Linked DNA regions of Callithrix jacchus. The protein of the gene in region 3 purifies or fractionates together with the protein of the main gene of each other region. This does not show direct contact. Links are inferred from orthologs where the notes say so. Each region holds a gene or a part of one and is shown on either strand. Other genes may lie near its edges. The genes, in order: SQSTM1, RELA, PML, ZMYM2, NDUFS1 and RARA.

Region 1 (4,576 bases), on a different chromosome or scaffold from region 3:
GATATCATGTCCAGGATGGACTCTGTGGCTTCATGTCCTGGATGTCGGGGCCTGCAACCTACCAGCCAGGAGGAGCCTGGGTCTCAGTGGTGGCTCTGAAAGGCCTTGGCTCTTCACATGAAAGCCGCCGCCCACCCCACACACACTGCTACCGGGAGGCTGCTGTTGACTCACTCCCCTTTGGGCCCTGCTCTGGAAACAGTTCCTTCTAGGCAGTTAACCTGTGAGTCATCCTGCTTATACTTCCTCATAAAGAAAGGAAAGAAAATAGCCCTAACTTCCACAACAGAGTAAGCCACTCCTTGACTGGCTCTCCTCAGCTGAAACCACTCAGTCTATTTTACTAAAATGTTCCTTGTTTGTAGAGCTCCAGGCTTCTCCTCAGTTAGGAAAAAGCAATTCTATCCACTTTAAACCTTTAGCCTTTAGTGCTCAAAGACCTCTGAGCACTTGCAAAATTATTCCTGTCTGTGCCAAATGGGGCATCCAGTTCAGTTCTGAGATGCTGCACCAGCACAGGTGGATCTTGGGACAGTGTGACCCCAAGCACCTAGGCAGCCTCCCAGAAAGATCCCCAGGCCCCACCAACACCCATTTACCAGGATCAAAAAAGGTTAAGGCCTGGGGATCTGCACTGTCTTAAAGTCTCTACCTGAACCTAGACTTGGTTTTGTGAACAAAGGATATCTCCTTTGTTCTTTGAAAGACTCTTGTTCATACCTCCAAATTCACTGCAGTCTGTCAGAACTTTACTATGTCCAGAGTAAGCAGCAGGGTTTAGGCATAGTATATCTCAATCATAATCTCAGTGCTCCACTGTTTTCCCCTCCCTGGAAAGCATTAATAGCGATTCTTGGCAGGACACGATGGCTCACACCTGTAATCCAAGCATTTTGGGAGGCTGAGGCGGGTGATCACCTGAGGTCAGGAGTTTGAGACCAGCCTGGCCAACATGTAGTGAAACCCCCATCTCTACTAAAAATACAAAAATTAGCTGGGCATGGTGGCAGGCACCTGTAATCTCTCTACTCAGGAGGCTCAGGCAGGAGAATCGCTTGAACCCAGCCATGACTTCACTATTGCACTCTCCAGCCTGGGCAACCAAAGTGAAACTCAATCGCAAAAAAAAAAAAAAGTAGCAATTTTTCTTTCCTATTCTCTGACTTCGCCTCTAGACTCCAGTAAAGAAGCCCCATGTATTTGGGCTGTTTAGTTCAGCAACAATGCCAATATGTCACTGCTGCTTCAAAGCAGAATACGTAAGGCCAGGCACGGGGGCTCATGCACTTTGAGAGGCCAAGGCAAGCAGACTGCCTGAGGTCAGGAGTTTGAGACCAGCCTAGCCAACGTGGTGAAACCCCATCTCTACTAAAAAAAATACAAAAATTAGCTGGGTGTGGTGGCTGGCACCTATAATGCCAGTTACCCAGGAGGCTGAGGCAGGAGAATTGCTTGAACCCAGGAGGTAGATGTTGCAGTGAGCAGAGATTGCACCACTGCACTCCAGCCTGGGTGACAGAGACTTTGTCTCAAAAAAGAAAAAATCAGAATGAGCAGAGTTGGAAATGGCAGTCATGCCCTGTAGCCACAGGAGGTGGCAGACAGGATTCAGACACCCCTCCTAGCAGCATTCTTTCAGACACTGAACACCTTTGGACAGGCTAGATGGACAGAGACGGCCACTACAGTTGCAAAGATAAGCTCGCTTTTCTAGAGAGAGATGCAGGTGTCCCAGCAATCCATCTGCCATCACAGATCCACCATCATCTTGAACTAAAAGTTGGCTTCATTTGCTGATTCTTACTTCTTACTGCTGCATGCTCTGCCCCAGACCCTTAGACACAACAGGTACTTTCTAAAGCCCACCAGGGAGGGTTCTCAGAACCTTAGGTTCATGCCTGGGGTCAGATGGCACCACTCTGGAGGTACACGTTGGGGTTCACCCACACCAGCAGACCCACTGTGCAACCTGAGGCACCGGAATTGGGTGTCACCCAGAGCACCTGCCTCCACCTTCTCCCGCCTCTGATGCAGGCCCAGCATTCAAAAGCACCCAGGAAAGTTTGGGGGTTGCAAACTAAAAGAAGGAAAGGATAAATAGCATCTTAGCTAACTATTACCCAAATCCTCAAAAGTCCAAATCCCAAGGTCCAGCTTAGGGGAAAATGCAGACTGTTTTTCACCCAAAGGAGAGCAGTCAGAGGTGACAGGCAGACCCTGCAACCAGAGCCTGGTCACCCTCCCTTACTGGGATTTTCCCAACCAAATGCCGGCTGATTCTACTTCACTCCGTGTAGAAAGCTTGAGAATTCTGTCAGGGAATTCAACCTTGAGCACCTGTGTTAACATGAGGCCTCACCAGTGTCAAGGATATGTCAATTACCCATTCCTCTGCAGCATTCCGGGTGAACCTTACATAAAGTGCAGGCTGAGTTAGGAAAGCACTGGGCAAGAAGGTATACTCACCCAGAGGGCTGAGGGCAGCTGCCACGCTCTCCCCTACGTTCTTCAGGAAATTCACACTGGGATCCTCCGATGGACCAGAAGCTTTGATTTTCACAAAGATAAAATAAAGACATCTTTACTGCCTTGGATACTTGTTACAGTCTTGTCACCTTCTTGCCAAGGTTCCTGTGTTCCCAGGTAACTTTCATCCCAGACATCTTGTCCAGCAGTCCATTCAGCACCCTCTCTCCTCCTTCCCACTCTTTGGCCCCTGCCCCTGCACCATGATCCTCTCCACCCTCCTGTGCTGCTCCCCCTCCTCTGTGACCCTGATGCTCAGTAACCCCACAGAGACTTACGCTCAGAACACTGTGGATAAATATTGACCACCTCCTTGAGTAAATGTGTTATTTACTCAAAGTCAAGCAAACATCCTTATCTTTGTCCCAAAGGGTGAGGTGATTCACAGGACACAGTAAGATTAATAAAATCAGAATCCAAAAATCTATACTGCAAAGCTAAGGGTAAGTCTTAACTTACAACTATGTTTAAAAGGACTTTAGCAACTTTGGCTCTGATCTTCCTGACAACTACCACAAAAGAGAACAAAGTACAGCAGAGACCCCGGCGCAGGAAAGGCCTCCCTGCCTATACCTCGGGCACCTCAAGAGGGCAGCCTCCCGAGATGGGAAGGGCTCTGCAGGTGAATTTGTGGCCTCAGGCACTTGGGCACTTCAGTTTCCCCATTTGGGCAACACAGAGAATACTCCCCACTTTGCAGGGTTCTTGTGTGATTGTAGGACACAGATGCACAGAGGAATTCAGGGGAAGGAAGGCGGGGAGGTGCCCTGAATTGCACACAGGCTGCCTGACTGACTACAGTCATCGTTCAGAAGCCAGTTCCAAAACAAGCCCCACCTGATTCTGCTGTGGGACCAGGGCGGGCATCCCCTGCACGAGGAGGACGTGGGCTCCAGTTTCCTGGTGGGCCCATCTCCCAGCCTGGCCAACCGAAGTGCCCGTGTTTCAGCTTCCTGAGCCAGCGGCTATGCGAGAAGCCCTGAGGGAAGAATTAGCAGAGGGGCAGGCAGTGAGCAGGTCAGGGTTCCTGCCATCCTGCACCCACCCCAGGCCCACACGGAGGACCTGCTCACCTCAGACAGGTGTCCGAAGGGGCTAGGGAACACGAGCTTGGAGTGCCCTCGGTGCAAGCCCTTTCCCTCGCAGACGCTACACAAGTCGTAGTCTGGGCAGACGCTGCACTTGTAGCGGGTTCCTACCACGGGACCATTGCAGCCATCACAGATGACATTGGGGTGCACCATGTTGCGGGGCGCCTCCTGAGCACATGGTGGGCGGTGGTCCCGCCGGCACTCTTTTTTCTCTACATGGAGGGTAGAAAGAGCCACTGGAGTGGGGCCCCCTAAAGTCTTCCCATCCATCCTCACCACCAGCAAGGCCCCTGGCCCTGCATTCCAGCATGGAGTCCACACAAAATTCAGCTCCTTAGGTGAGGACAGCAGAGCAACCAAGAACCTGCTAGGAGGTTCCCAGTCCCTGTGTCTGTTACCTGGGCAATGTGGCCCAGGCAGCAGAGCAGCAGCAAGGGACCCTGTCTGCACACCTTTGGCCTTGCTCTTCACCCACGCACCATAGCACCAGACCCCATCCCTAGGGGGACTCCTCTTTGGACTCCTCTTTCTCAGGTCAGACACAACATTTATTATGTCTCTCTTTTTTTTGACACAGAGTCTCACTTTGTCACCCAAGCTGGAGTGCAATGGTGCGATCTTGGCTCGCTGCAACCTCTGCCCCCAAGGTTTAAGTGATTCTCTTGTCTCTGTATCCTGAGTAGCTGGGATTACAGGTGTGCACCACCATGCCCAGCTAATTTTTCTATTTTTAGTAGAGACAAGGTTTCACCATGTTGGCCAGGCTGGTCTTAAACTCCTGACCTCAGGAGATCTGCCTGCCTCGGCCTCCTAAAGTGTTGGAATTACAGGCATGAGCAACCATGCCTGACCTATGTACCTGTTTTAAACAGTCTTCAAATTCCTGACCCTTTCTCCTTGGTGGAACATCAAGCCCGATTTTTTACTCAGCAGGGAGATGAGTACAAGCTAAGCTAGCT
Region 2 (5,060 bases), on a different chromosome or scaffold from region 3:
GCACTTTGGGAGGCTGAGGTGGGAGGATTGCTTGAGCCCAGGAGTTTGAGACCAGCCTGGGCAACACAGCAAGACCTATCTCTGGTTATAACAAATAATATAAGTAAAATACAGAATTCTGGCCCAGACGATGGCTCAGCACTTTGTGAGGCCAAGGTGGGAGAACAGTTGAGCTCAGGAGCTCAAGACCAGCCTGGACAACAAGGTGAAACCACATCTCTACAAAAATTCAAAAACTTCACCAGGTGTGGTGGTGGTGTGCTCCTGTAGTCCCAGCTATGCAGGAGGCTGAAGTGGGAGGATTGCTTGAGCCTAGGAGGTCGAGGCTGCAGTGAGCTGAGATCGTGCCACTGCACTCCAGCCTGGGTGACAGAGCTAGACCCTGTCTCAAAAAAAAAAAAAAGAAAAGAAAATACAGAATTCTGGATGGTGGTGGCCCCTTGAGTTTTGCAGTGGGTACACGGGTGTTTATAGCATTAATTTAAAAGTTATAAACATACATGAATTTTAAGAAGAGGATCCATGCAAGATTCAATGATAATTTTATGTCATTAACCAAAGATTTTGATTAATCCATTCTGCCACCTGAAGTCTGCCTCCCCCGCCCCCTAACAAAAGTAAACACTTTTCTAATCAGGGCCAGCCACTGGAGAAACTGAAATGAGTGGGCGGGGTGCTAACTCTATTTTCACTTTTCTCTTCCTGTTTCTTCAGAGCCTGGGAAACAAGTCAGAATTTCCAATCTTTTCCAATTCCCACATGATTTCCTAATTTAAGACGAATTCAGAGAAAAAATAAAGTCTTTCTCCATCTGGAGAAGACTCCGCCCCCTGCAGTGGAGCATCCTCTTTCGGGGAGGAGGTGTGGGGTGGGGGTGCGCCAGCCCCAGCCCCGACACGTACGCGGTTTGGTCTTGGGGGCGATACCGGCACTGTGGGGGTCACATGACAGAATTAGTGGTCAGCCCTAGCTAGAGGTCCAGGGCAAACGCAGGGGTGGGCGGGGGCGTCGTGACTCTGCTGATTCAAGTGTCCCCTGGGGGTCCCGGACCTTCTGAGACAAGCGCCAGGCTGCGGAGACAAGGCTCCGGGGTTTACCCCCGGGCTCCTCCTGCTCCCACGGTCGCTCAGGGTCTAAAATGCAGTTCGGCTGCATCTTAAGCTGGCTCTTTAGCGTGAGAGGGGCGAGCCCTCGGCCAGCTCGCCGGCGGGAGGGCCTCGGTCGTCCCATCCGGGCTGCAGGCTCTGCAGAGCTAGTCTATACTGTCAGGCGAGGAGGCCCGGCCGCTCCCCTTCCCCAGAGCCGCATCTAGATTGGGGTGGCTAGGACATTTTAACGTGCTTCTGAGACAGTCACCACCGAAAGGCGCCTTTAGCGATCAGGAAACCCGCGTAGACTTCAACCACCTGGCCTTTGCGGGCGCAGAAGGCCAGGCTTGGCCTTTCCCTGCGCGGGACGGGTGGCCGCAGCCCAGCAGCCCTGGCTTAGCTCTAGACCCGGCCCAGAGTGACATCACCAACTCCACCGATCGCGGGAAGGGGCCCCGAAATCCCCTAAAAATAAAGTGAGTAATCGACGGACACGCCCTCCAGGTGGGGCCGGGACTCGGAAACTAGCCCAGCAGCCTGCCGCGCCAGCCTCTTCGTCCCCCGCGAGGCGCGCACTTGGCCCCGGCCCCCTGCGGCGGCTGTGCGCGCGGCCTCTTCGTCCTCCGCGCGGCGCGCACTTGCTCTCGGCCCCTGCGCCGGGCCGCCGCGGTGCAGCACGCAGGCGCGGCCGGATTCCTGGCAGTGACGCGACGGCGGGCGCGCGCGGCGCATTTCCGCTTCTGGCGAATGGCTAGGCTGTAGCGCCCGCCGCGGGCCCAGCTGCGACCCCGGCCCCGCCCCCGGGACCCCGGCCATGGACGGTGAGGTCGCCCTCTGACCCCGCGGGGTGGCCGCGCCGGGGCCGCCGGGGCTGTGGCGGGAGCCCCCGCGCCGCTTTCCGCCCCTTCTTGCGCTGATGGGCGCTGCGCAGGGAGCGGCCTGCCTGCTGGATGGTGGCGCGGGGCGGGGCAAGCGGGGAGGGATCTGACTCAGTTTCCCCTCTGGGTGGAGGGGAGGGCCTTAACTCAGTATCCTCCCTGGGTGGGACAGCGGAGGGAGCCTTGACTCAGTTTCCCCCCCACTGTCTATGGGGGCAGCTCTGGCTTCGTTTCCTTGTTAGGGAAGAACGCATCTGATTCAGTTTCCTCTCTGGACGGAGGTGGGGCGTGCCCTCCCCCAGTTTTCCTTATGAAAGGAAAACTAATTCAGTTGCCCTCGGGAGAGGAAGGATTCCTTACCCCGTTTTCTCTCAAGAAGCAGGTGTTTCTGGCTCCTTCTCCCCACCCTTTAGTTTCACCGCCTGTTCTAGGGAACGGGTCCTGACTCCGTTCCCCTGGGAGGGAGCCTGGCTTCTCTTCGTGGGGAGCAGATTCCCCCGGTGAGGATGGGCAGTGGGTGTGTGCTGACCCTGATCTCTCTCCCCTTTCAGAGTTGTTCCCCCTCATCTTCCCGGCAGGTAAGTGGCCCCCGCGGTGGTCGGGGAGGTGCTCCCTGGGGTAGGGCAGCGGGGGCAGCCACCTAATGGGTCTGCGGTGTCCCCTGGCAGAGCCAGCCCAGGCCTCTGGCCCCTATGTGGAGATCATTGAGCAGCCCAAGCAGCGGGGCATGCGCTTCCGCTACAAGTGCGAGGGACGCTCCGCGGGCAGCATCCCTGGCGAGAGGAGCACAGATACCACCAAGACGCACCCCACCATCAAGGTCAGCATTGAGCCGGGGAGTGCGGGGTAGGGACTGCGAGCCCCAGCCCTCTGTTTGGGAGTCAGGTTTGGATGTCTGGGCTTCTCTGTACTTTGGACAGATCAATGGCTACACAGGGCCAGGGACAGTACGCATCTCCCTGGTCACCAAGGACCCTCCTCACCGGCCTCACCCCCATGAGCTTGTAGGAAAAGACTGCCGGGATGGCTTCTACGAGGCTGAGCTCTGCCCGGACCGCTGCATCCACAGGTGAGCTCCCTGCAGTCTAGGAGGCCCAGCCTGAGGGGACAGGATGCGGGCTGTGAGGTAGACGCTACAGTGTTACTCCTTTCTGGACACAGGACAATTTCTCACTCCTTGCTCTGACATAGTTCTGCAAGTAAACTCCCTTTGTTTTAAAATTATCATTTATACCTCTACTCTAGCAGATAGGAGCTCTAGGGGATAGGGATGGGTCCCTAATCACTTCTGAATCCCTGACCCTGTAGCTGGAAGGGGTAGTCCGTCAGAGTCATGTCTCTTGTTTGAGAAAGAAAACCATTGAACCAGTACTCTCCCCGGAGTTGACATTACAGTTGACAGAGACAGACTATAAAAAAAATATACAGGCCAGGCGTAGTGGCTCATGCCTATAATCCTAGCACTTTGGGAGATGAAGGCAGGAAGATCTCTTGAGCGTAGGAGTTCAAGACTAGCTAAGGCAACATAATGAGACCTTATCTCTACAAAAAAATAAATTAGCCAGGTATAGTGTCATGTTCCTATAGTCCCAGCTACTTGGGAGGCTGAGGTGGGAGGACCACCTGAGGTGGGAGGCTGAGGTGGGAGGACCGGCTGAGGTGGGAGGACTACCTGAGGTGGGAGGCTGAGGTGGGAGGACCACCTGAGCCAAGGAGGTCCTTGCTGCAGCAAGCTGTGATCATGTCACAGCATTGAAGTCTGAGTGACAGAGTGACACCCAAGTAAATAGCCTGGCACAGTGGCTCATGCCTGTAATCCCAGCACTTTGCGAGGTTGAGGTTGGCGGATCATCTGAGATCAGGAGTTCGAGACCAGCCTGACCAACATGGTGAAACCCTGGCTCTACTAAATACAAAAACTTAGCCGGGTGTGGTGGTGCACACCTGTAATCCCAGCTACTTGGGAAACTGAGGCAGGAGATTGGCTTGAACCTGGGAGGCGGAGGTTGCAGTGAGCCAAGATTGAGCCATTGCACTCCAGCCTGGGCAACAGAGTGAGACTCTGTCTAAAAATACATAAACAAATAAAATATGAATAAATACACAGATAAGTAAACAAGGTACTGTCAGAGTAATACTTTCAGTGCTGAAAATAAAACAAGGTCATAGGATGAAAGGATAACCTGGGGTCGGGGAGTGAGGGGAGCTAGTGTAATGACTAGATTGGGAGGTCAGGGAAGGCCTCCCTCTGCTACTGCTTGAATGGTGAGGAGGAGGAGAAAAGTAGGAAAAAGAACATTCCAAGCAGACCAAACAAGTGCTAAGACCTTGAAGTGGGAATGAGTGTCTTGTGTTAGAGAAGGGAAAGGAAGCCCCTATGGTGGTAAGCAGATGGCCCAAAGGGAGGCTGGCAGGGGCGGGGGCGCAGAGGTGCTTGTCAGCGGAGGGGAGGGACAGGGTTCGTTGCAGCATAGTGGGAAGCCACTGGAGGGGGTTAGGTATGGAGCGATGATCTGCGGGTGGGCAGGGGAGGAAGGAGCAGGCTGGGCAAGGCAGGAAGGTCCCAGCTCTGCAAGAGACAGGTGAGTGGGGGTGTTCAGTTTCCAGAACCTGGGAATCCAGTGTGTGAAGAAGCGAGATCTGGAGCAGGCTATCAATCAGCGCATCCAGACCAACAACAACCCCTTCCAAGGTAAGGGTGAACCTGCCTGCCGCACCCATACCCTCTGTCACCGTTCCCAGCCCGCCTTTCCTGCATCTCTCCCTCATTGGCCAAGACACAATAAAGATGGAATCTTGCTGCCCTTTCAGTACTCTCCCACTTTACCATTGGGAAACTGAGGCCCAGGAGAGGACATTCAGGGTCACAGTGGAGGCAGTGCTGGGTTCTGCCGTCTCTAGGACTTGTGTTTCACACATGCACCAACAGCCCTCCCAGCGCACAGCTCCCTGTCCCCACTGATAGCACCTATAACCCCCCTTCTCTTGCTCTCCTGATCACCTGTTTTCCTGGCAGTTCCCATAGAAGAGCAGCGTGGGGACTATGACCTGAACGCTGTGCGGCTCTGCTTCCAGGTGACAGTGCGGGATCCAT
Region 3 (4,576 bases):
GCTTCCCGAGGAACTTGGACTTGAGGGGCTTCCATGGGGCCTCTGTCAGAATCCCCAGGGGGAACACCTGCTCCAAGAGTCTGGGCTCTGCCTCCCCCTGCCCCCACCATGGAAGAAGTGTCAAGCTGGGGAGCCATGGAGAAGGGGAGGGCAAAGAAGTGGTTGAGCCACTGGGATAAATGAGAGGAGCCCCGGAGGAAGCGGCTGCGGGATCTCACGGCCCCTCGTATCCGGCGGGGTGGGCTGATGGCCCTTTGCAGCTGGGCAGGATGCTCCTGGGCACTGGCAGGATGGTTGAGGGGCCCTGTGGTGGCAGGAGTGTTGGCCTGGACCACGTGGTGAGACCAAGTCCGAAGGGGGACCCGATGCAATCGAGGGTTCAAGTGGAGGGCATGGCGAAGGCGGATGGCTCTCTGTGCTCTGCACAACAGGTGACGGATCCCACGGTGGATGGCAGGGCGCTCCTGGTGATTGGCAGGCTGGCTCTGAGGTTCAGCGTCAGGAACCACAGCCTGCTCAGTGGGCTGGTGGGGAGGCGAAGCCGGGGGATGGCATGTACCACGCGGCAGGATGGAGGCTTCTTGTGTTCTCAGCAGGTACTGGGCTGGTGAGGACTGTGGCTCAGCGGTCTCCGTGGGCTCCATGCACTTTCCAATACAGAACCTCAGACTGAGGGCTGGAAGAGACCTCAGGGGCCACCCAGTCCATCCTTTCACTCTATTCAGATCCCCTTTTCCCCTGGACGGGTGATAGCCCAGCTCCTAGTAATAATCCTCCAGGGACAGAAGGGTCACTACCCACGAGGCCACTTGTTTCAGTGTGGAATGGATTTACAGTTCTTTCTTACATGGATAGAGTCAAACCTCATTTTCTTGGCCTCTATACAGCTCCCCCGTGGCCTCACACCCCTTCACTGGCCCCCACTGGCTGCAATTAACTAGGAAATGCATTCTTGTCCAGCCCTCCTCACTGAGGACTCAGAGGACAGAAAATGCATAAGGGAGCTCCAGAAAAAGGCCCTGGACATTCCGGAAAAGAGACGGGGTTCTGGATGCACACTATCAGCGTTTCAGAGGAGTACATATGGCTACTGAAGGCCCCTGCCCCGGTGTGGTGGGAGGGCTGGGGTGGTCCAGGCATGCGGCTGGCATTTGGAGACTGTTATCAGCACAGCTTGGGACTCACTGCCTCACTGGAAAATTGCCCAGGCGTAGGCAGATCTGAGAGTCACCTGCTGTGGCTATGCCCCTTGGGACCTGAAATGGGGGTAGGCAGGAGTCCTGGGCTGAACTTCTGGGCCACTCACCGAGTTTTCGGCATCTGAGTCTTCCGAGCTGCTGATCACCACAATGCGCTCCTCTGAAATGGGGAAGGGGAGCTGAATTACTTACTGCCTAGGACGCATAATGGGAGGGGTGTGGGTATGCACCTATGGGAATCCTTGCAGGCCAGTGCACTGAGGGCAACGGATACCCTGCAGGGCGACGGGAACACCCACTGTGTGTGCCAGTCTGAATCTGCTTTGCATTTGGATGTAATTCACAAATGGGTTTCCATCATTTCTTGCTGTACCTTATCTATGAATATTCAATTAAGTTATTTGCCCAGCAATCAGAATTTGCTCCCAGCACAGGAGGCCTGCACCACCTGGTTTGGAACCTTCTGCAATCCTAAAGCAGCACAGCGGTTTGGCCCAATTCTCAGCTCCATCAGCTGGGATGTCTAGAGTTAAAAGATGCCTCATTTAGTTAATCAAAACCCATTGATGACCAATAGCATTGGTGGGTAAGGAATATCAGTCAATGCTCAGTGTGTGACCAGGGCTGGGGCTGAGTCTGGGACCTAGAATGAAGAACAAAGCTGTAGTCTGGGTGAAGAGATCCAGGAAGAACTCTTGCTCCAGATTTCTCTGAGTTGGACCTCAACTCCTGTCCAGCTGACTCCCTGCCTGGCGGTGTCCACAGAGGATAACTCAGACAAATGAGACACTTGGTAGGTGGCCTTTGCAGCAACACCTGGGGAAATGATGGGTGTGGACTGGGAGGGCACAGTTAAGGTCACGGGGAGTCCAGTTTCCTGTGATGGTGTGCCCAAGCCCTCTGGGAGCGCACGAGGCATCTGCCAGCAAACATTTCTTGTGGAGACCTGTCCTGTGCAGAGGCATGGTGCTGGGCACTGTAAGATTAGTGTTTTGGGGAAAGGACTCACAGAACTGTGCATTTTAGCCTGACAGGCTCCCCACACCTTAATCACAGCAAAGCACGTGGTAACCTGTATCCACCCTCACCCCCATGCACACTGTGAACTTTCCCTGCCTTATTCAGTGGGAATAAGGGACTCCTGTTGGCTTTGGGCTTTCTGGATGGGGCCAAAATACAGAAGAGGGGGCCCACCCAGACCCTGGCAGACAGCACACAGGTCAGGTCACTCCCCTACCCACCTCCCTACCTGCCTCCCCGGCGCCACTGGCCACATGGTTGCTGTTGGGCAGGATGACCTCACTTCCTATGTCGGGGCTCTCGGCGCTGGGCAGCCCATCCAGGTGGGGTGGTGAGACTGCCTTAGAGGTGCTAGGCCTAGGCTGCTCGGGGGAGCTCCGAGCCAACCTCGCCTCCTTCCCCTCCTCAGATTCCATCTTGATGACCTTCCTGGGGCACTGGGTCTGAATGCTCTTCCTCTTCTGGCCTGTGGTTGTATTGGAGACCTCCTGCACAGAGGGAGTCACAAAGCCAGGTCAGCTGCCTCAAGGGGTGAGTGGGCACAGCCTGCCCTGGGTGCCAGGGCCTTGTGGCTACCCTTTTGCTCCTGTTGTCCCCTCTCCTCTGCTCTCAGCCATGCAGATGTCTCTCTTCAGACAGGAAGCCTTCCCAAGCTGGCACCATCTGCTGTCTACCAGTCTCTGCTGGCCTTTGACAGCCCTGAGTGTCTCAGCACCCCTGCTGTGCTGGGAGTGGTTCATGCTTATGGGGAGCTCCCAGATCAGGCAGCCGAGAACAGGGGACAGCATAGAGAAGGCGCTGAGCAAACACTTCCCCACAAACAGCTGATCTGATGAAGGCCTGGCTTCCCGCCCCTCGGCACCACTTCACTTTCCTGGTGGAATCCAGGCCTTCAGGAGGGGAGGCCAGGGCTGGGGAGAACCTTACCTCTCTGTAGGAAGGGCCTTTGATGGAGAAGGCGTACACTGGCACGGGGTGTGCCCCGGGGACTGACTGTACCACAGCCACAGGCTGGGCTTCAGCCAGCCCCAGGGCCTGGGCCTGGGCCTTCACTCTCTCTGCCTCCTCGGGCTGCAAAGTTGGGAAAATTGGGTCAGAAATGACTAGGCAGCAGCCCCAAGGCCAGGTACCCCAGACCTGTGGTTGGCCCAATACCTGTGGCTTACCCACTCACAGGTTCAGGCTCCCTGACTCAAAGCTCCGAGCTCACTGGGGACAAGAAGTCCTCCAAACTCTCTATCACATCACCTCCTTCTTTAAAGAGAAAAAAACTGTAGAGACAGGGTCTCACTATGTTGCACAGGCTGGTCTTGCACTCCTGAGCTTGAGCAATTCTCCAGTCTCGGCCTCCCAAAGTGCTGGGATTACCCGCATGAGCCACCACACCTGGCATCACCTCCTTCCAACTCTGAGTTACTGGCGCCCAGGGACTGCTTTGGTTCTTGAGTGTTGTAACAGGGCTTGAAGGTACCCCAGGAATCGCACTGCCCAACGCAGGACATGCTCAGTAACTAGCCCAGCTTACACACACACCTCCAGGGACACACCTCACTACTGGTGAAAGCAGCTCCTGTAACAGTGAGAAAATCCTCCCGCTGAGCTGAAACTGGCCTCCCTCGGACCTTACCTCTGCCTCTCAGCCTTAACTCTACCTGGGTCAGCTACTACACAAGTTGGATGAATTGCTTAAAACTTTTTGGGCCTCTGTCCTGCTCTGTAAAATGGGAATAATAACATCTATCTCATATGGTAATGTGGATGAAATGTGTTAATACAAGTAAAATATGAAATACCTGGCACTTCGAAATGCCATTGATAATGATACATTGATAATGCCAGGCACGTGCTGAGTGCTTTGTGTACCTATCTCCAAATGAAATAGAGGCAGTTCCTTAAAAAATTAAATGTAGAATTATCATATGACCCAGCAATTCTACCCCAGGTATGTACCCAAAAGCAGGGAAAACAGATGTTTAAACAAAAGCTCGCAGGTGAATGTTCAGAGGAGCACTATTCACAATAGCCAAAAAAAGGTAAAACAATCTAAATATCCATCAACTGATGAGTAAATAAACAAAATGTGGTATAGCCATGTGATGGAATATTCTTCCGACATAGAAACATGGATGAGCCTTGAACGTATTACGTCAAATGAAAAGAAGCCAGCTGGGCATGGTGGCTCACACCTGTAATCTCAGCACTTTGGGAGGCTGAGGTGGTGGATCATTTGAGTCCGGGGGTTCCCGACCAGCCTGGCCAACATGGCGAACACCCATCTCTACTCAAAACACAAAAATCAGCTGGGCGTGGTGGTGCACACCTGCAGTCCCAGCTAGCTGGGAGGCTGAGGCGTGAGA
Region 4 (5,087 bases), on a different chromosome or scaffold from region 3:
TGCCTGAAGGAAAATATGATTGGCTATCTTCATCTTCCCCTCTAGCACATAACGTGGTTGCCTTAAAACCAACAAATTAAATGATAATTCTCACCTAACACATTCAAAAATGATCGCTAAGTGAAAGATGGTCAACATGGAAGACGGAGAACCAAGAAAGTTACTAGATCAGCACACTGGTCTGATCAGCATACTACTTGGAGAACAAGACAGTATAAGAGGAGTGGACTCCATCCCTTTCCTAAGCAAAGACAAGAAAAAGATCTAGCAACTTATGAGCCTTGGGTCAAAATTTGTGTTTCCAACAGACATAAACAAAAATATAATGGTTATTTCTATGTTTCCAATCCATTTAATCAATTAGCCATTGTTTAAGGAAGAAAAAATGTTAAGGTTGCATGCATAGCATTCAACAAGAAATAACTTTAATTCCCATTTTGGAACTCTAGAGGGCACTAGAAATATGCCCTCCTTCGCACCACCCCTCCTCCCCGGTAACGTGAGCAGCTGCAGAAGCCCGTCGTCTGGTTGCTGAGGTTGGTATTGCAGCAGCAGGAGCGATGTCTGCAGCGGTGGAAACAGCAGCGCCCACTCCCAGCTGCCTCACCAGCCATTACCCAGGCTTCGCCTTGGGGGCAGCTGCCACCCAAGGGAAAGCTCCTCCCCCTCAAAACAACGGGGAGGGCCAGGTCCCATGGCTGAACCCCTACAAACTGACAATGTCCTCTACTAGCAACAAACTGGGGGCAAAAGACTCACAATGGGGGTGTTTTCCTCCTCACTTTCTGCCAAGGATGCACCAGACAAGGTTGAAGGCGATTCTTGGTCCTGGGATAGGAGAAAAAATGAAAAACGTATCAAGAACATAGAACCTGATGGGAGAACCCAACCCTTTCTGCCAGAAGGAGGCAGAGGAGGGAATAAGAGGTCAAGGAGGTTCGGTCCTTCTATTATTACCCCCACCATGCGCACAACAGCCCCCTCCTGCGTAAGTGGGGCAAAACAGCGCAAAATATATATCTGGGGCCAAAACCCTTGTGAAAAGCAAAATCTGGAAGGGAGGGGGGCCTGAGGACACCGAGCCTGCTCCTGGAAGGGAGGGGGGAAGGGAAAACGTTGCCTCGACGCCAGTAAGGGATTTGTATTCCCTCCTAAATTTGCCCACCCAGCTTCATCCCCGTCACTCCAAGTACCAATTCAGAGGTAAGAGGCGGCTCACGTCACCGCTGGGCCGATATCGCCCACATTTGCCCCAAGCAGTTGCCCTGGGCCCGAGGTTTGCCCCCCCCTGCAGTCGGCGACCGGCAGCGCTGCCTCCCCGTCCGCCATTAGAGACCCAGCCAAACAATACGTGCGGAGCAAGAGCCGCGCAGCGCAGCGCGGAGGGAAAGAAGAGCGAAGGAGGGGACCCGGCGGGGCAGAGGCGGCTGCTCTCGCCCCGAAAAACTTGGGGACCTCAGCTCTGGCGGACCGGGTGGCAGCACGGCCCCGAGAGCGGAGAACCGGCCGGGGCGCCCCTCCCCCGCCCCCCGCAGGAGAGAAAGGAAAATGCCCCGCGACCTCCCCGGGCGGCCCGCACCCCCGCCCCGCCGGCCCCGCCGGCCCCGCCGCCCCGCCGGCCCCGCGACCCCCGCCGCTGGCGGCCGCCTCACCCAGCCCTCCCGGCCTCGCCCGCACTCTCCTAGCCCCTCGGGCCGCACGCAAAGGCGCCTGTGACATGAGAGCAGCCCCGAGCTGCCCCCGAGGCCCCGACGCGGCAGCGGCGACGGCGGCCGCGCCGCGGGGTATTAATCCTGGGTCGGTGGGAGGCTCTGGAGGCTGCCCTCACCCATCTCCGCCTCCCCAGTCGCCTCCGCCTCCGCCTCCTCCTCCGGAGGCTGCGCTGCTCCCAGCCACCCCCACTCTCGGCGGCCCTGGACTGGAAAGACAGCGGGGATAAGCCTCACCCGGTTCTGGCTGTGGCTCCGCGGAACGAACCTCCCCTCCCCCGGCCCACCCCCCTTCGGCGACACGCACAACTCCGCTCGGTCCAGTCCCGGCTTTAGCGCTGGTGAGGAGGAGGAGGCGGAGGAGGTGGCGGCGCGGCCGAGCCCGGGGAGGCCCCGCCCTCCGCGCGCTCGTTGGCTGGTGGAGGAGGCGGCCCGGGGCACCTCTGGCACGCCCATTGGCTATGACGGCCGTCCTTCAGGACCCCCCCTCGGTGGGGTGGTCCGAAGGGCTGTCCGTCAGGCGCACGCCACACCCCCGGCCCTGCCGTTCCACTCCCGCCTCCGCCGGCCCTCGACTCCCGGCCGCGTCCCCTCCCCGCCGGTCCCCCGCCCCCACCCATAGGGTCCGCCAGGGTCAGAAGCCGGAGATTCACTGCCCGCCGCACCAGCTTCGCTTCGGACCCTAGGGGCCCGTGGCTCTCCGGTACCTAGACAGCCCTGGAAACTCCGGCGGGGCCGCCTGCCCTCGCCCGAGCCCGGGTGCCCAGGCCGCGGAGCGGCTCTCAACGCCTCTGCCCGAGGAGAGCCGCGGCCTCGATGCCCCAACGCCCTCTCTGTCCAGTTCCTTGAAGGCCCCCACGAGGGGCGAGGCCGAGGAGGCGCTGGAGTGGGGCCGAGTGGGCTTTCGGGGCCGCTGGTGAAGTGGAACCCTGAGCGCGCTGGGGGCAGTGGAGGCCCTTCCACCCTCTCCGCGCCCCGTGGGGAATAGTCCCCCACCTCCCGCCATGGCTGCAGCAGGAGGAGACGACGTCCTCCATTTTGTCGGAACGGCTGTAGGAACTTAGGACCCCTTCAACACCAAACCCCGTGGGGCCGGGAAACTTGTCCCCGGGAAGCCCCGACTGGGCTCTGCCATTCGGCCAAGGGAACAGCCCCGGCTGCCGGCGTCTGCGTCCGCGGGGCCGTAGGGGACGGGCGCGACGGTGGAGAGACCCAGACAACGCTCCCCGCCTCCATCAACCAAGATGGAGGGAGCTGCGGGCTCCCCTGGAGCTGGGCTCCCGCCGGTTGGAGGGGCCGGAGCCCGCCCTGGGTCGTCCCTGGGCGCCGCCGTCCTCTGCTCCGCAGCTCGGGGCGCTGGCCCTGCCCAGGCCTCTCCACCGCCTGTCACCGTCTCCTGGTCCTCAACGGTTGATGGAGACTCCATGGAGGCTCCCTCCACACACAGCCCGTTCCATCGCGGGGCGCACCCGCTGCGGCCCCCGGGGGGGGGAGCGGAGTCAGGGACAGACGGCGCCCGGGGAGGGCAGGTCCCACAGGCCACCTCCACGAGGGGTCTTCTCTTTTGTTCCTCGTCTACACCTACGTCTTCGGCGGACGTCATGGTGCTGAACCATTTCCAAGACCACGTAAAGATGGAAGCAATGCCGCTTTCGTCTCGCCCTGGCGGTTCTTAGTGGGATTACAACTGATGTTGGTTATTTTCCCACCCAAATGGATGGGCAACTTCTCAACTTCACTTATCTGACACCATTGACTATTAATAAACAGATATAAAACAGCTTCAAGTTCAACACGCTGTTGATGAACGTGAAGTTTTTAGTGAAGTTAATCATCCATGAAAGCCTGATGTGTAAACTAATAGACATAACTTACAGAGGATGATCTAGTAGAAGTTGAAATTCATCAGTTAAAACTAAGTAGGTAGGGGGTCCAAAGTGGCTCCCGCCGGAGGTCATGGCGCTCACGAAGGCGAGGTCATCAGTTCAAGGCTAACCTGAGCAACCTCATAAGCTCAAACTGATTGGCAAAAAAAAAAAACACTTAAGTAGGCTTTCTACCTTGGACTTAATACTTTGAATATCCGGTTCTTTTTTATTGGAAAATATTCACAAAATGTACATGAACCAGCTTTTCAAAAAGTATCACTGATTTTTAGGAAACTTTCGTGACTAAAATTGTTGAGTGTTGAATACACTAAAATGTAAGATTTTATATTACACAGTACTGTTTTAGATTGAAAAACTATCATCACAACATAAACATCAACAAAAACAGTCACTATCATCAAAACAGAAACATTCTCTACTACCAAATTGTAACAATTCGGTGAAAACTTACACCATACCTTTTCTGCTGCCAGATCCTATTGCAGTCGCTTCAGCTCATTGAGTTTATATTTAGAAGAGTAAAGTAGACTTACTTCCAAATAAGCTCTGTGATAAACGATAGATTGCGTTGCTACGCAGTGTTCAATTGGAGCGCTATGCTGCTACTAATTCCCTAGCATTATTGCTGTTTTATATAACTAATGAGCAACAGTGCTAAATATAGTATTTATTATTCACTTTTAAAAAAAATTCATTCAGGTACATTTGTCCGTGAAACTGTTCACTGCTTTGCTGGTCTGATATCAGGGAGGATTTTAGTTGAGAATTTCGAACTAGGGAAAAAAGTCTTTCTCATAATATTAAAAGCAGACTTAACTTTATATAAAAGTAATTTTAAAGATCAATGTTTGAATGTTCGAAACAGCATTATTCATAGTTTCCAACATCCCAAAAATATCCATCAACTGATCAATGGATAAACAAAATGTGGTACATCCATACAATGGGATATTATTTAGAAATAAAGAGGAATGAAGTTCTGATATATGCTACAACATGGACATACCTTAAAGACGTTATAAGTGAATAAAGAAGACACAAAATACCACAAAATATTTCATTTACAGGAAATGTCTAGAATAGGGAAATCTGTAGAGACAGAAAGTAGATTAGTGGTTACCCAGAACTGGAGGGGTGGGAAGTAGGAAATGTTAGCTAAAAGTTATGAGGCTGTTTAATAGAGTGACTAAAGTGTTCTACAATTTAATGAAATGATTGCGCAACTCCTAATATACTAAAAACCTCTGAACATACCTTAAATGAGTGACTTGCGTGATATGTGAATTATATCTCAATAAATCCACAACTAAATCTGCGTGTACGGCCTGGCACGGTGGCGCATGACTGTAATCTCAGCACTTTGGGAGGCCCAGGCAGGTGGATCACAAGGTCAGGAAATCAAGACCATCCTGGCCAACACGGTGAAACCCCATCTCTACTAAAAATACAAAAATTAGCTGGGCATGGAGGCGCATGTCTGTAGTCCCAG
Region 5 (5,042 bases), on a different chromosome or scaffold from region 3:
TGAAATAAATGGGGGTGGATTACATAAACACCATGACTCAAAGACAAACAACACAAACAGAAAGAAAAGTTACCGAAACTTTTTCTTTTTTTTGAGACGGAGTTTTACTCTGTTGCCCAGGCTGGAGTGCAGTGGTGCAGTCTCAGCTCACTGCAATGTCTGCCTCCTAGGTTCAAGCATTTTTCTGCCTCAGCCTCCTGAGTAGCTGGGACCACAGGTGTGCACAACCACACCAGGCTAATTTTTGCATTTTTATTATTTATTTATGTATTTATTTTTGAGAGGGAGTCTCGCTGTCACCCAGGAGTGCAGTGGTGTGATCTCAACTCACTGCAACCTCTGCCTTCCAGGTTCAAGTGATTCTCCTGTCTCAGCCTCCCAAGTAGCTGGGATTTACAGGCTCCTACCACCACCCCGGCAAATTTTTGTATTTTTAGTAGGACGGGGTTTCTCCACGTTGGCCAGGCTGGTCTTGGACTCCTGACCTCAGGTGATCAGCCTGCCTCAGCCTCCCAAAGTGCTGGGATTACAGGTGTGATTCACTTTGCCCAGAACATTTTTGTATTTTTAGTAGAGATGGGGTTTCACCATGGTGGCCAGGCTGGTCTCAAACTCCGGACCTCATGTGACCCACCCGCCTCAGCCTCCCAAAGTGCTAGAATTACAGGCATGAGCCACCATGCCCATCCAAGTTACCAAAACTTCTAAACTTGTTGGTTTTTTTTTTTTTTTACTTGATCACATAGGGTAAGCACTGACCTTTTTGCCTGTTTGCTTGATCATATAGGTTAAGCAAAATCACTTGGAACTTCTAAAGGTATTAAAAATGCAAATTGGCCAGATGAGGTGGCATCATGCCTGTAGTCTCAACACTTTGGGATGCCACCTCGAGGAGTTTGAGATCAGCCTGGGCAACACAGCAGGATTCCATCTCTGCAAAAAAAAGAGATGGGTGTGGTGGCATGAACCTTTAGTCCCAGCTCCTCAGGAGGCTGACCTGGGAGGATGGCTTGAGCCCAGGTGTTCAAGGTTACAATGAGCTTTAATCATGCCACTGCATTCCAGCCTGGGAGACAGAATAAGATCCTGTCTCAAACAACAAAAAACAAACAAGCAAAAAAGGAAGCAGCAAATTATATGATTAGAATGTATTAAAAAAAAATTTCGACAGTAAAGTTTCAATACTTGCAACAGTATTATTGGATAACAGTGCATATACATTGGTTTTAAGCACAAAATTCTGCACACTTATCACAGATGATGTACAACAGGAAATGTCATTAATTCAACATTTCGTTAATTAAGAATATGTGATACTGAATTTGCAAACATCAACTCTGTTTCCTGCTAGCGAGTAATTTTTGGTAAATCAGTTACTGGTTCTTTACTTACAAGGCAGGAGGAAAACAGTACTTCCTAGACTATGAGCTATTAGTAGGAGCTCAATAAATGCCAGTTAAAGCTGAATTCAACTTAGGCAGTACTGGTGGCCACTGACAATAAGTTTCTGTGTGGCTTTTTTTTTTCTTTGAGACAAGAGTCTCGCTCTGTCACCCAGATTGGAGTGCAATGGCATGATATCAGCTCACTGCAACCTGTGCCTTCCAAGCAGCTGGGATTACAGGCACCTGCCACCATGCCTGGCTAATTTTTGTATTTTTAGTTGAGACAAGGTTGGCCAAGTCGGCCAGGCTGGTCTTGAACTTTTGACCTCAGGCGATCCACCCACCTTGGCCTCCCAAAGTGCTGGGATTACAGGTGTGAACCACCACAGCCCACCGACAATCAGTTTTAAAGGGCTCTTTGTGCCTTTTCTTTAGTACCAGTACACACTGCATATTTATTTTTATCATTCCACTTACTAAACTGTAGGTTAGTAATCAATTTTAGTACCTATCAGACTGTAAGCTCCTTGAGGACAGAGTTTGCATATTTCCCTTCCTGAAGACCTAACACGGTATCACCAAGTTCTAGAAATGAGTAGCATCTGTCCTATTAAAAACTGATGGCATATGTATATTGTAAACCAAAACTTGCTGCATTAGAGCATTGACAGATTTGAAATCAACAATGAGTATTTCATTCAATTTTAAAACTTTAATACTATTTAAAATACGATATAACAATAGTACTCACTTTAGATAGGACATCAACTAGAACTAGGCTGTTGACACTAACATCAAAGCATAGACCAACGTAAGAAACACAGATTTGCAACACTTCCATATGTGCATTGAACACCAACATACCAAGTAGTAACAGAAATATTTGTCTCTGTAGATGGAAAAATGCTAATGACCAATCATTTCTAATACTGGACTGGATAACTTTCCGTATAGGGGCCATACTATTCCACGTTCTCCAACATGGATCCTGCATCCATCCAAGGTATACCCTATCCCAATCCACCATCATTCCTTGCCTGGAGTATTTCAATAGCTTCTTAACAGGTCACCAAACTTCCACACTGTTCCCACACAGCCCCTCCCCTCTTGCCACCGCTGTAACCTCAGACTGAAATGCTTTTCCCTCTCATCTTTCGGGCCACTCCTCATCCTTCACATCTTGGCTTAAAAACTTTCTCTCAAGGAGATTTTCACTGTCCAGCCTATCTAACACTTCCTGACGATTCCCCAGTCATATCACCTATTTTATTCTTCTTTACGAACGTATTCTTGGCTCGTAAATGTTCAATAACTGTTAAGTGAACTGAATCTCTAATTTCTGGCCGTAACTTGCACAGAGCACTTCCCCGGATTTAAAAAGTGCAGGTGCTCTGGCAGCCTTAACTCGGTGAAAACAAGAGTATTCCGCAAAACAAAAATAACTGTTTACTTATCAAAAGTTACCGTTACACTTCTATACTGTCAATTCGTGTGTGAAGCGTTGTGCCTGATTCAAGATCTTACAGTATAAGCATTAGATCCCAAGAACGTGTAAACAACGTTTTGTTATTCGCAATGCAATCCTGGGCTAACTTTTCAAAAGTCCTTTTTCTCAATTTCCCCGCCAGTGAAAGGAATAAAATGCTGTCCAACGTGGTCAATGGACAAAACAAAATCAACAAACAGAGGCGTGAACGAAAACGCAACAGCGACTAAACAATCAGGCACTGTACCAGCTGTGTGGAAATCTGGGGGGACAGGCTCGGTCTTAACGCCTAAGTCATCGGACACTAGTTCTCTCCTGGGGAACAAAACGTCCTCCTCCTCTGAGAGGGCAATGTCCTGAATTTTCACTGCAGAGGAAAGGTCGCCTGCAAGCGTGCATTCGGGCCAGCGTTCCCAAGTGTCCCCTGATCCTCCTCTTCCTTTCTGCTTCATCAGACCAGACTCCGTGGCTAAAAGCCCCCACATGCCGGTTCTCAGGGGCTTCTGAGGCTGCGGAGCGGGAGGCGGCGCCCCAGTCAAGGACAAGAGAAGAATAAGTCGCGTGGGCCAAAGGAAACAGTCCCGTCAAGAAATAAACCCCTGGCCGAGACGCACCTCACCCTTCCCATCCATACAAGACCTCACCTTCTCCCCGGAGCCGCGAAGGCTGTTTGCTAAACTGTCCGGACCACAACGACCCTTCGGAGACCGGGTCGCTCACTTAATATGGCGGCCTCAGCTAACTCTGTCACCCGGGCCTGGAGAACGGAAAGCCCGGAGGGACTAGAATCCTCGCATTCGACAAGTCTGTCGGCAATTTCCGTCAGCCGACCCGAGGGCGGAGCGGAGGTCGGCCCAGCAGGGAGGCGGGAAGGACAACTTGGACCCGCAGTTCCGCCGGAAGTGGCCTGTAGCCCCGTGGCCGAGCGTCTTTGGTCATCTCCGGCGTTTCAAGGGGTGGTTCTCGTTATCTTCCGGAGCTGTGGAGGTTCGAATTTAAAACATGCCAATTTTATTAATTTATTTCCAAACGCAACGAAGGGTCCAGGGACAATTTGTGGGCCACTTAATTTAGGGCCCCCAATTCGTACGTGGAGAAGTGAGAATGCCAACGTACTTTGACCTTTAACCTTTGGTCGGGATCGGTGGAGGGAAACGCCTCCGTCTCTATATAAGGAATTTTCCGGCCTCTCTAGGCCCTTTTTTCTCTTTGAGCGCGGGGTGCTGTAAGCGTATGCTCTGTCTCTCTGCTGCTCCCCAGCTCTCTTGATACAGCAGACGTCATGGGTTTCGGAGACCTGAAAAGCCCCGCCGGCCTCCAGGTGCTCAACGACTACCTGGCGGACAAGAGCTACATCGAGGGGTGAGCGGACGGGCCGAGACGGGATGGTGAGGAGGCTGGTCGGACCCGGGGCCACGTGGGGCAGCGTCGGTTGCCCCGGGAGGGAGGGAGGATGAAGGGTTAGCGCCTCTCCTTGCCATCTCCCAAGGCCCGCGTGTGGTGCGAGCCCGGGCTCCGGGGAGCGGTTCACTAGCAGTAAAAGGTTGAAATGTACTTTATTTACACTTAATTCAGCCAGGTGTCGCCGTGTCGCTGCCCAGTTAGTAAAATATTGGACTGTAGATAGAGCAATGCTAGAGATTGCAATCGTTGAGGTCTACTAAGTGGGAAGACATTTCTCAGGATAACGTGGCGACCCAAGGATGGTTTGATTTTAAGGAGCTGATAAGAAAAAAAAAAATCATTAAAGCACCCCTGCCGGGGCTAGTGCCCACTAATTAATGTGATGCATACAGCATTATTTTCGCTGGCGTTTGTCTTTCAAAGGTGTGTATGAACGTTTCTGTGTCATTGGCAGGTATGTGCCATCACAAGCAGATGTGGCAGTATTTGAAGCAGTGTCCGGCCCACCGCCTGCCGACTTGTGTCATGCCCTACGTTGGTATAATCACATCAAGTCCTATGAAAAGGAAAAGGCCAGGTAAAATCATCTTTGTGTCTAGCTGAGCAATAAGGCTGCTCTCGAAGTTAATCAGGATGTTCACATGACAAAACTGGACCCAGGCTACTTTAGCTTTGTTGGGATATTATGAGCTAAATTTTTCAGTAACCTTAGAAGGCCAAGAGACTGAAGTCCTCCATTTTTTCACAGAACAGGTAGAACATGGACA
Region 6 (5,223 bases), on a different chromosome or scaffold from region 3:
TGGGGGTTTCTGGGCCTCAATCCAGCTGACTTCACTGCCTGCTGTTTGCCCTAAATTCCCCCACCTCCACCCTCTCAACCCCACACTGCTTTCTTCTTGCTCCCAATGGGAAAAAGGACTCTTGCTTCGGCTTTCTTTTCAGCTGGTAACTTGGCCTTTAGTGCGGTGCCCCCCACCCCAGTGTCAGCTGCAAGGTCGAGCTAGGGCAGCCCCCTCTAGCCTAGGCCTGTAGAAGCTGTGGGTTCACAGTGGGGGGTGAAAAAGCTGGAGTTAATGAAGACCAGCTGCTAGTCTAGGTTCTGCCTACAGCTAGCTGGAGGCCAGCCTTTGGTGGTGGTTGATGGGGGTGGGGTGACCTCCATCCATGGGCACAAGGATATCCTGTGGCAGCAGCGAGGCTTGTGCTTCTCTGAGTTTAGTTTTATCCTTAGTTTGTAAGAGAGTAGTCTATTTCCTTCTCCCCTACTCCTCTCCCCAAATAACACTCAGCTCTTACTGAACTTTATAACTAGTGGTGGCCCAGCTGAGATCTGAGGATCTCCAAACCCTTTTGTAAACACTCATTAACTGCCTGGGAAGAACGAAGAGCCCTGTTTAACAGCTGGGAGAGAACTGAGGCACATTAGGGTGAAAGGCTTGACCTAAACTCACCCCATGGACTCCACCCTGGGGCCTTCCATCCTAACTTCCCAGCTCCTTTTCTGAGTTCTTTCTGGAAGACAAAAAGAGGTGTGGAGGCATTGCTGGTGTCCTCTCTTCTAGGGAGAGGCCATGCCCTCTTCTTTCAAGTCTGTCCCTGACTTCCTCTGGCCCTTATGACATTCTCCCTGATCTGCTGCTAGAGATATGTGCAACTCTCCTTGCAAAATGTTCCCAATCCACAACTTCAGAATTCTTATCCACCTTTCTCTTGCTCATCTAGCCCGCCAAACCTGAATTCTCCCTTTGAGCTATTGAGAAGATTGGCTATACTAAACTGAAACAGTGACCTTGAAGTTGATCTATTGTTTTGAGGTCCCTGTGCCCCTATATTTATCCAGAATGGTACATAGGAAAATATTCTCTCTTTAACTTGTTTATTTTGGTCATAAAGATTCGGACCTTATTGAGGGCTGGGTAGGGGCCCTAGTTGACCTCTAGGTTCTGCATCCTGTTCTTCCACTGACAATTATCATCTCCAGTAATAGATGTAGCCCAAGGTCCTTTTTTGTTTTTTCTTCTTCTCTAACCGCACCTGCTTTTACTTTTGCCTATATAAGTATATTTGCAGACCCCACACACCCAGATACACACAAATTGGTCCTACCTGTTTCCAGCTGCCATCTAAGTTAGCCTGCACTTTTTACAGGCTGAAAATCTGTTTTTTTTCCCCCTGGATGGCCTGCCTCCTAGGCACTTGAGAATAATTGGGAGGGATGAAGAGACTCCTGCAGTCCACAAGGAAGAGGACAGAAGTGAGCATCCAACTAAAAGGAATGCTCCCTTCTCCAAATTTCTAGCTAAATGCCTCAGCGGGAGTGGCAGGAAAAGAGTTCTTAACCCCACCTCTAGCACCAAAACCTAAGTCCATCTGCTCAGGGCAGCCAGGAAGAAATGTCTATTTTCTCCTGTTTTATGTCATCCTATCCTCGTTATCCATATGCTGTGTATTTGATACTGGGAACTGTTCCCGTCCCCAGCCGGTGATCAGACCCCCATCTTTGTTCCAGTGCGTTATTTCTCCCCCATCAGTCCTCCACTCTGCACCGGCTGACCCAGTCAGGGCTGGTGTAATTGGGCGGGGAGAGTCTTCTGTTTGGCGAGTGGGCTTTAGGACCCAACGGGAACCCGTGCCTCTTGCAGCAGCCTAACCCAGAAGCAGGGGGGAATCCTGAATCGAGCTGAGAGGGCTTTCCCGGTTCTCCTGGGAACCCCATCGCCCCCCTGCCAGCACACACCTGACCAGGTAGGACCATGCACACCCCTTCCCAATTCTTCCTTGGCCGCCTTTGACTGGCCTCTGCTTCCGATCTAGCCGTTTCCCTCTCGTCAGTTCTGGCTTTCCCCATCCCTCCTCTCCTGTCACTCACTGTAGTCCTGCGAGGTGGGAGTCTCGGAACAGTAGGGTGTCTGAAAGCTCAGAGCCCACTGCACCCTCCAGCTCCTTTCCCGCATTTCTCCTGAGGCAGTCCTCGTTTCCTAGCTAAGAGTGGGGAGTAGGGGGAAGGTCTGCCCAGGCCCACGCCCTTGCACCCTCCTTTGCAGTATTGCCTAAAACCCCTTCCCCCACCTCACCTAGACTGGAGAATTGGCAAGTGCTGGGGTAACAGAGAGGACAGAGCCAGAGAGGGACCTGAGCTTTCCTGAGGGATTTCTTTCTTGCTTCCTAGCCCAAAGAGCTCAGGACGTTGTCCCCAATCCCTACTCACCTTGTAGGGGAACTAATGTCCCTTTCCAGGTTCATTGCACACCTGGGTGGCCAAGGGCTTTGCAGGAAGCTAGTGGAGGTTGTGAGCATTTTGGTGACCTTTTCCTCTGGGAAACTTCTTTCAGCTTAGAGCCCCCATCCCTGTCAACATCTCAACACCTTCTGCAGAAGCGCTCCCCCCTCCCCCCCACCCCCGACCCCTGTGTGCGTGTGTTGACAATGTGGTTGTAAGATCTAGAAGCTTTGGATAGAGGTGGCTGCAGGCATTGAAAGGGAGGGATACCAGAGTGTGGCCAGGCTAGAACAGGCTCAGTCCAGATGGCTAGGGAAGGGGGTGTGGACCAGATTGAGGAGGTCACCCAGCCTTGCCAGCTCCCTGAGCTCCTTTGCTTTCAGTCTCAGGCTCCTGGTGTTTCTCTAGAGCTATAAGGTCCCCGAGCTTTTGCCCCCTGCCCCCACATGCTCTCAGAGAGGGCTAGATGGCACCTACTGTTTACAGTGGCGTATTTTCTCCTGTGGTGGGCAGACAGGCCCTGCTCTCTGATGATGATCTAGGGCATGCCATTCTGGTTTGGTGGGTTTATAGGAAGGGTGTACACTGTCTGAGTTACCGTGTGTGAGTGTATATCTTGCTTCTGGGGGTAGTAGACTGGGGAGGGGGTGATAGAACAGACTGGTCACACTGAGAGAACTCCTCTAGTTCTCAGTGTGTGGTAGGGGTGGGTTGCATGTCCCTGTCTGGTAGCTGTGTCTAGGTGTGGGGTGTACTCTGCATTCTTCCATGGCTCCCCGGGTCCCCTAAGGGTTGGTTTTGGAGGACAGGGTAGATAATGGAGTGGCTTCACACTTTGTTCTGGTCTTGATCCAAGAAGGAAAGTAGAGATTCTGAGTGTGAGCAGTGGACTGGGAATCAGAGGCCTGAATGGAGACTTAGCCTGGTTATTTAACTATGTGTGTTTATGTAGGTCTTCCCCTGTGCTAAGTCTCAGTTTCTTCATTTGTAAAAATGGCTATCAGCAAGCAGGTCTGCCACCAAGACCCCACAGATAATGTATTGTAAAGCTCAGTCCAAATGGTAGTAATGGCTGGGGGGATCTAGGATGGAATCCTCTTCCTAAATCTAGGTCAATCTCTCTGCCTTCAGTTTTCTTCCCTCATCCTTTACCCATCTGGGAGATGGAGGAACCAGGCAGGGCTATTGCCCCGGGTACTGCAGAATTCCCCTGCAGGTTGTAGCTGTTGCCAGAGCACCTGTGGTCAGAGAGTACAGATCTCTCCACCAGGCATTTCTTCCTCTGGGGCCCCATACTTTCTCCCCTGAGCCATGTCTCCACCTTCCTTCTGCCATCCCTGCTTGGCGTCCTTGTCTCTCTCTCCCCTGCCCAGTGGCCTCCTTGTCCGGCTCACTGGGCAGGAGCCCTAATCGGATTCGACAGCTGAGATATGTGTGGCGGCTAAGAGCAGGCGGGAGGGAAGCCAGTGGGAGGATGGTATGAGGACTGCCCCTGGCACTGCCCCGGCCTCCCAAGCACCACCTTGGGCCTGCTGATTTCTTACTTGGCTTTGCCCCAAGGAAGGGGTGCCAGAGGAAGCTCAGGAATGAACAGGCTGGGGTCTGGAGACTAGGGGAGGAGGAAACACACCAAGGTCTTGAGGACCTCGTTGATATTTGATGGCCTTAATGTCAGTATCTCTGACTCTGATAAGGAGGAAAGGACAGCGATGAGCCAGGCGGCCCTCACCCTCGCCACCTCATTCCTATAGCCCCACTTTCTTTTCTCTTCTTGTTCAGAAATGTGTTCATTTTGCCTCATCTAGCCCCTTTGGTCAGTACTTCCTTATGGATCACATCTGGGAGCTTCTGGGGGTGCCACATGTCTGCCTCAATCTGGGCTGTTTCCTCCCCTTCAAGGTATTTCACTCTCTCTGGGCTGGGTGCCAGGACTCCTGGGTTTCCCGCCTGCCTGTGGTGCAGGGCTCCCCTGCAGGGCTCCAGAGAGTCGCTTAGCTGGTTTCCTTCCTCCTGTGTGGGGAGGGCCTTCCCCTAGGGTTGGGAGGTGTCAGGAATCCCAGGTGGGATGGTGTGGGGGCACAGTAGCCTCTGGCACTGTAGCACCTCAGCTTCTTCCTCCTAGCCTCTGACTCAGCTTGGGGGCAGCACATGCCCAGCCTAGCAGGCATGGCCTATTCTTGCCTCCAGGCTTCTGTCTTTATAGAAGCCTAGATCTTCTCCCATTTTTAAGCGTTTTTTCCCCCATGGTATCTGGGGGTGGCTATTGAAATCCCTGTGTTTTGGGGAGCAAGGGACTAACATAATTGAGGCTGGGGCACTATTTTGTCTTCCCTCCAGCTGGGCCAGGATGAAGGAAACTGTCACAACTTCCCCATGCCAATTCCTTCTGCCCTCAAAAGACCAGTCAGTGGAGCCAGGCCCTGCCCTCTGGGTGCCCACAATGTGGTTGGCACTGATTTGTCAGAAATTGGGAAGGTTTCCCTCTAGACCACTTGCCTCCTATCTCCTCCTCCCATAGGGTAGGGGCAGCTCTGTGATTGCAGGCACTTATGAGCAGGCCTCCCCCCTAGGGAAGGGGTGTGGGATGCCCCCAGGATGGCCAAGTTGGCACTAGTCCCAGGCTGGAGTACTGGACATGATTCTGACCTGGGAGTTACTGGGGGGAAGGCAGGGCAGGGGCCTCCCTGCCCCCCTCATTTCCTGCTCTTTGGGCAGCTGTGGGCGAGAAAGGCTGCAGGGACTATTTTTAGTTGGTCAGTCCCCTGGCAGGAGGGACGTGCAGAAAAGCACGGGGCAGGCAGAG

The links.
Region 1: the proteins of PML (region 3) and SQSTM1 purify together in Homo sapiens (affinity purification with western blotting; 3 studies listed by BioGRID and IntAct, with this or other methods). This does not show direct contact. The link is inferred for Callithrix jacchus from reciprocal best matches to the Homo sapiens genes PML and SQSTM1.
Region 2: the proteins of PML (region 3) and RELA purify together in Homo sapiens (affinity purification with western blotting; 3 studies listed by BioGRID, with this or other methods). This does not show direct contact. The link is inferred for Callithrix jacchus from reciprocal best matches to the Homo sapiens genes PML and RELA.
Region 4: the proteins of PML (region 3) and ZMYM2 purify together in Homo sapiens (affinity purification with western blotting; 3 studies listed by BioGRID, with this or other methods). This does not show direct contact. The link is inferred for Callithrix jacchus from reciprocal best matches to the Homo sapiens genes PML and ZMYM2.
Region 5: the proteins of PML (region 3) and NDUFS1 purify together in Homo sapiens (affinity purification with mass spectrometry; 3 studies listed by BioGRID and IntAct, counting the BioPlex papers as one, with this or other methods). This does not show direct contact. The link is inferred for Callithrix jacchus from reciprocal best matches to the Homo sapiens genes PML and NDUFS1.
Region 6: the proteins of PML (region 3) and RARA purify together in Homo sapiens (affinity purification with western blotting; 6 studies listed by BioGRID, with this or other methods). This does not show direct contact. The link is inferred for Callithrix jacchus from reciprocal best matches to the Homo sapiens genes PML and RARA.

The regions. Positions count from the first base shown.
Region 1 is NC_133503.1:71,816,553-71,821,128, forward strand, and holds part of SQSTM1 (sequestosome-1), read right to left. Parts: intron 3,830-4,576; coding exon 3,600-3,829; intron 3,506-3,599; coding exon 3,364-3,505; intron 2,548-3,363; coding exon 2,467-2,547; intron 1-2,466. UniProt on the Homo sapiens protein: Molecular adapter required for selective macroautophagy (aggrephagy) by acting as a bridge between polyubiquitinated proteins and autophagosomes.
Region 2 is NC_133511.1:122,751,697-122,756,756, reverse strand, and holds the start of RELA (transcription factor p65), read left to right. Parts: upstream 1-1,816; 5' UTR 1,817-1,902; coding exon of another isoform or gene 1,903-1,909; 5' UTR 1,910-2,004; coding exon 2,005-2,041; intron 2,042-2,517; coding exon 2,518-2,544; intron 2,545-2,634; coding exon 2,635-2,786; intron 2,787-2,886; coding exon 2,887-3,035; intron 3,036-4,566; coding exon 4,567-4,658; intron 4,659-4,982; coding exon 4,983-5,060. UniProt on the Homo sapiens protein: NF-kappa-B is a pleiotropic transcription factor present in almost all cell types and is the endpoint of a series of signal transduction events that are initiated by a vast array of stimuli related to many biological processes such as inflammation, immunity, differentiation, cell growth, tumorigenesis and apoptosis.
Region 3 is NC_133509.1:20,936,170-20,940,745, reverse strand, and holds part of PML (protein PML), read right to left. Parts: intron 3,291-4,576; coding exon 3,147-3,290; intron 2,708-3,146; coding exon 2,449-2,707; coding exon of another isoform or gene 2,441-2,448; intron 1,360-2,440; coding exon 1,307-1,359; intron 688-1,306; coding exon of another isoform or gene 1-687.
Region 4 is NC_133506.1:139,639,006-139,644,092, reverse strand, and holds the start of ZMYM2 (zinc finger MYM-type protein 2), read right to left. Parts: upstream 3,352-5,087; 5' UTR 2,747-3,351; coding exon 2,706-2,746; intron 2,105-2,705; exon of another isoform or gene 1,653-2,104; intron 829-1,652; coding exon 760-828; intron 1-759. UniProt on the Homo sapiens protein: Involved in the negative regulation of transcription.
Region 5 is NC_133507.1:127,555,187-127,560,228, forward strand, and holds the start of NDUFS1 (NADH-ubiquinone oxidoreductase 75 kDa subunit, mitochondrial), read right to left. Parts: upstream 3,621-5,042; 5' UTR 3,516-3,620; intron 1-3,515. Other genes in the region: EEF1B2 (elongation factor 1-beta), read left to right, coding at 4,154-4,233, 4,730-4,852.
Region 6 is NC_133506.1:92,950,459-92,955,681, reverse strand, and holds the start of RARA (retinoic acid receptor alpha), read left to right. Parts: upstream 1-1,838; 5' UTR 1,839-1,945; intron 1,946-5,223. UniProt on the Homo sapiens protein: Receptor for retinoic acid. Retinoic acid receptors bind as heterodimers to their target response elements in response to their ligands, all-trans or 9-cis retinoic acid, and regulate gene expression in various biological processes.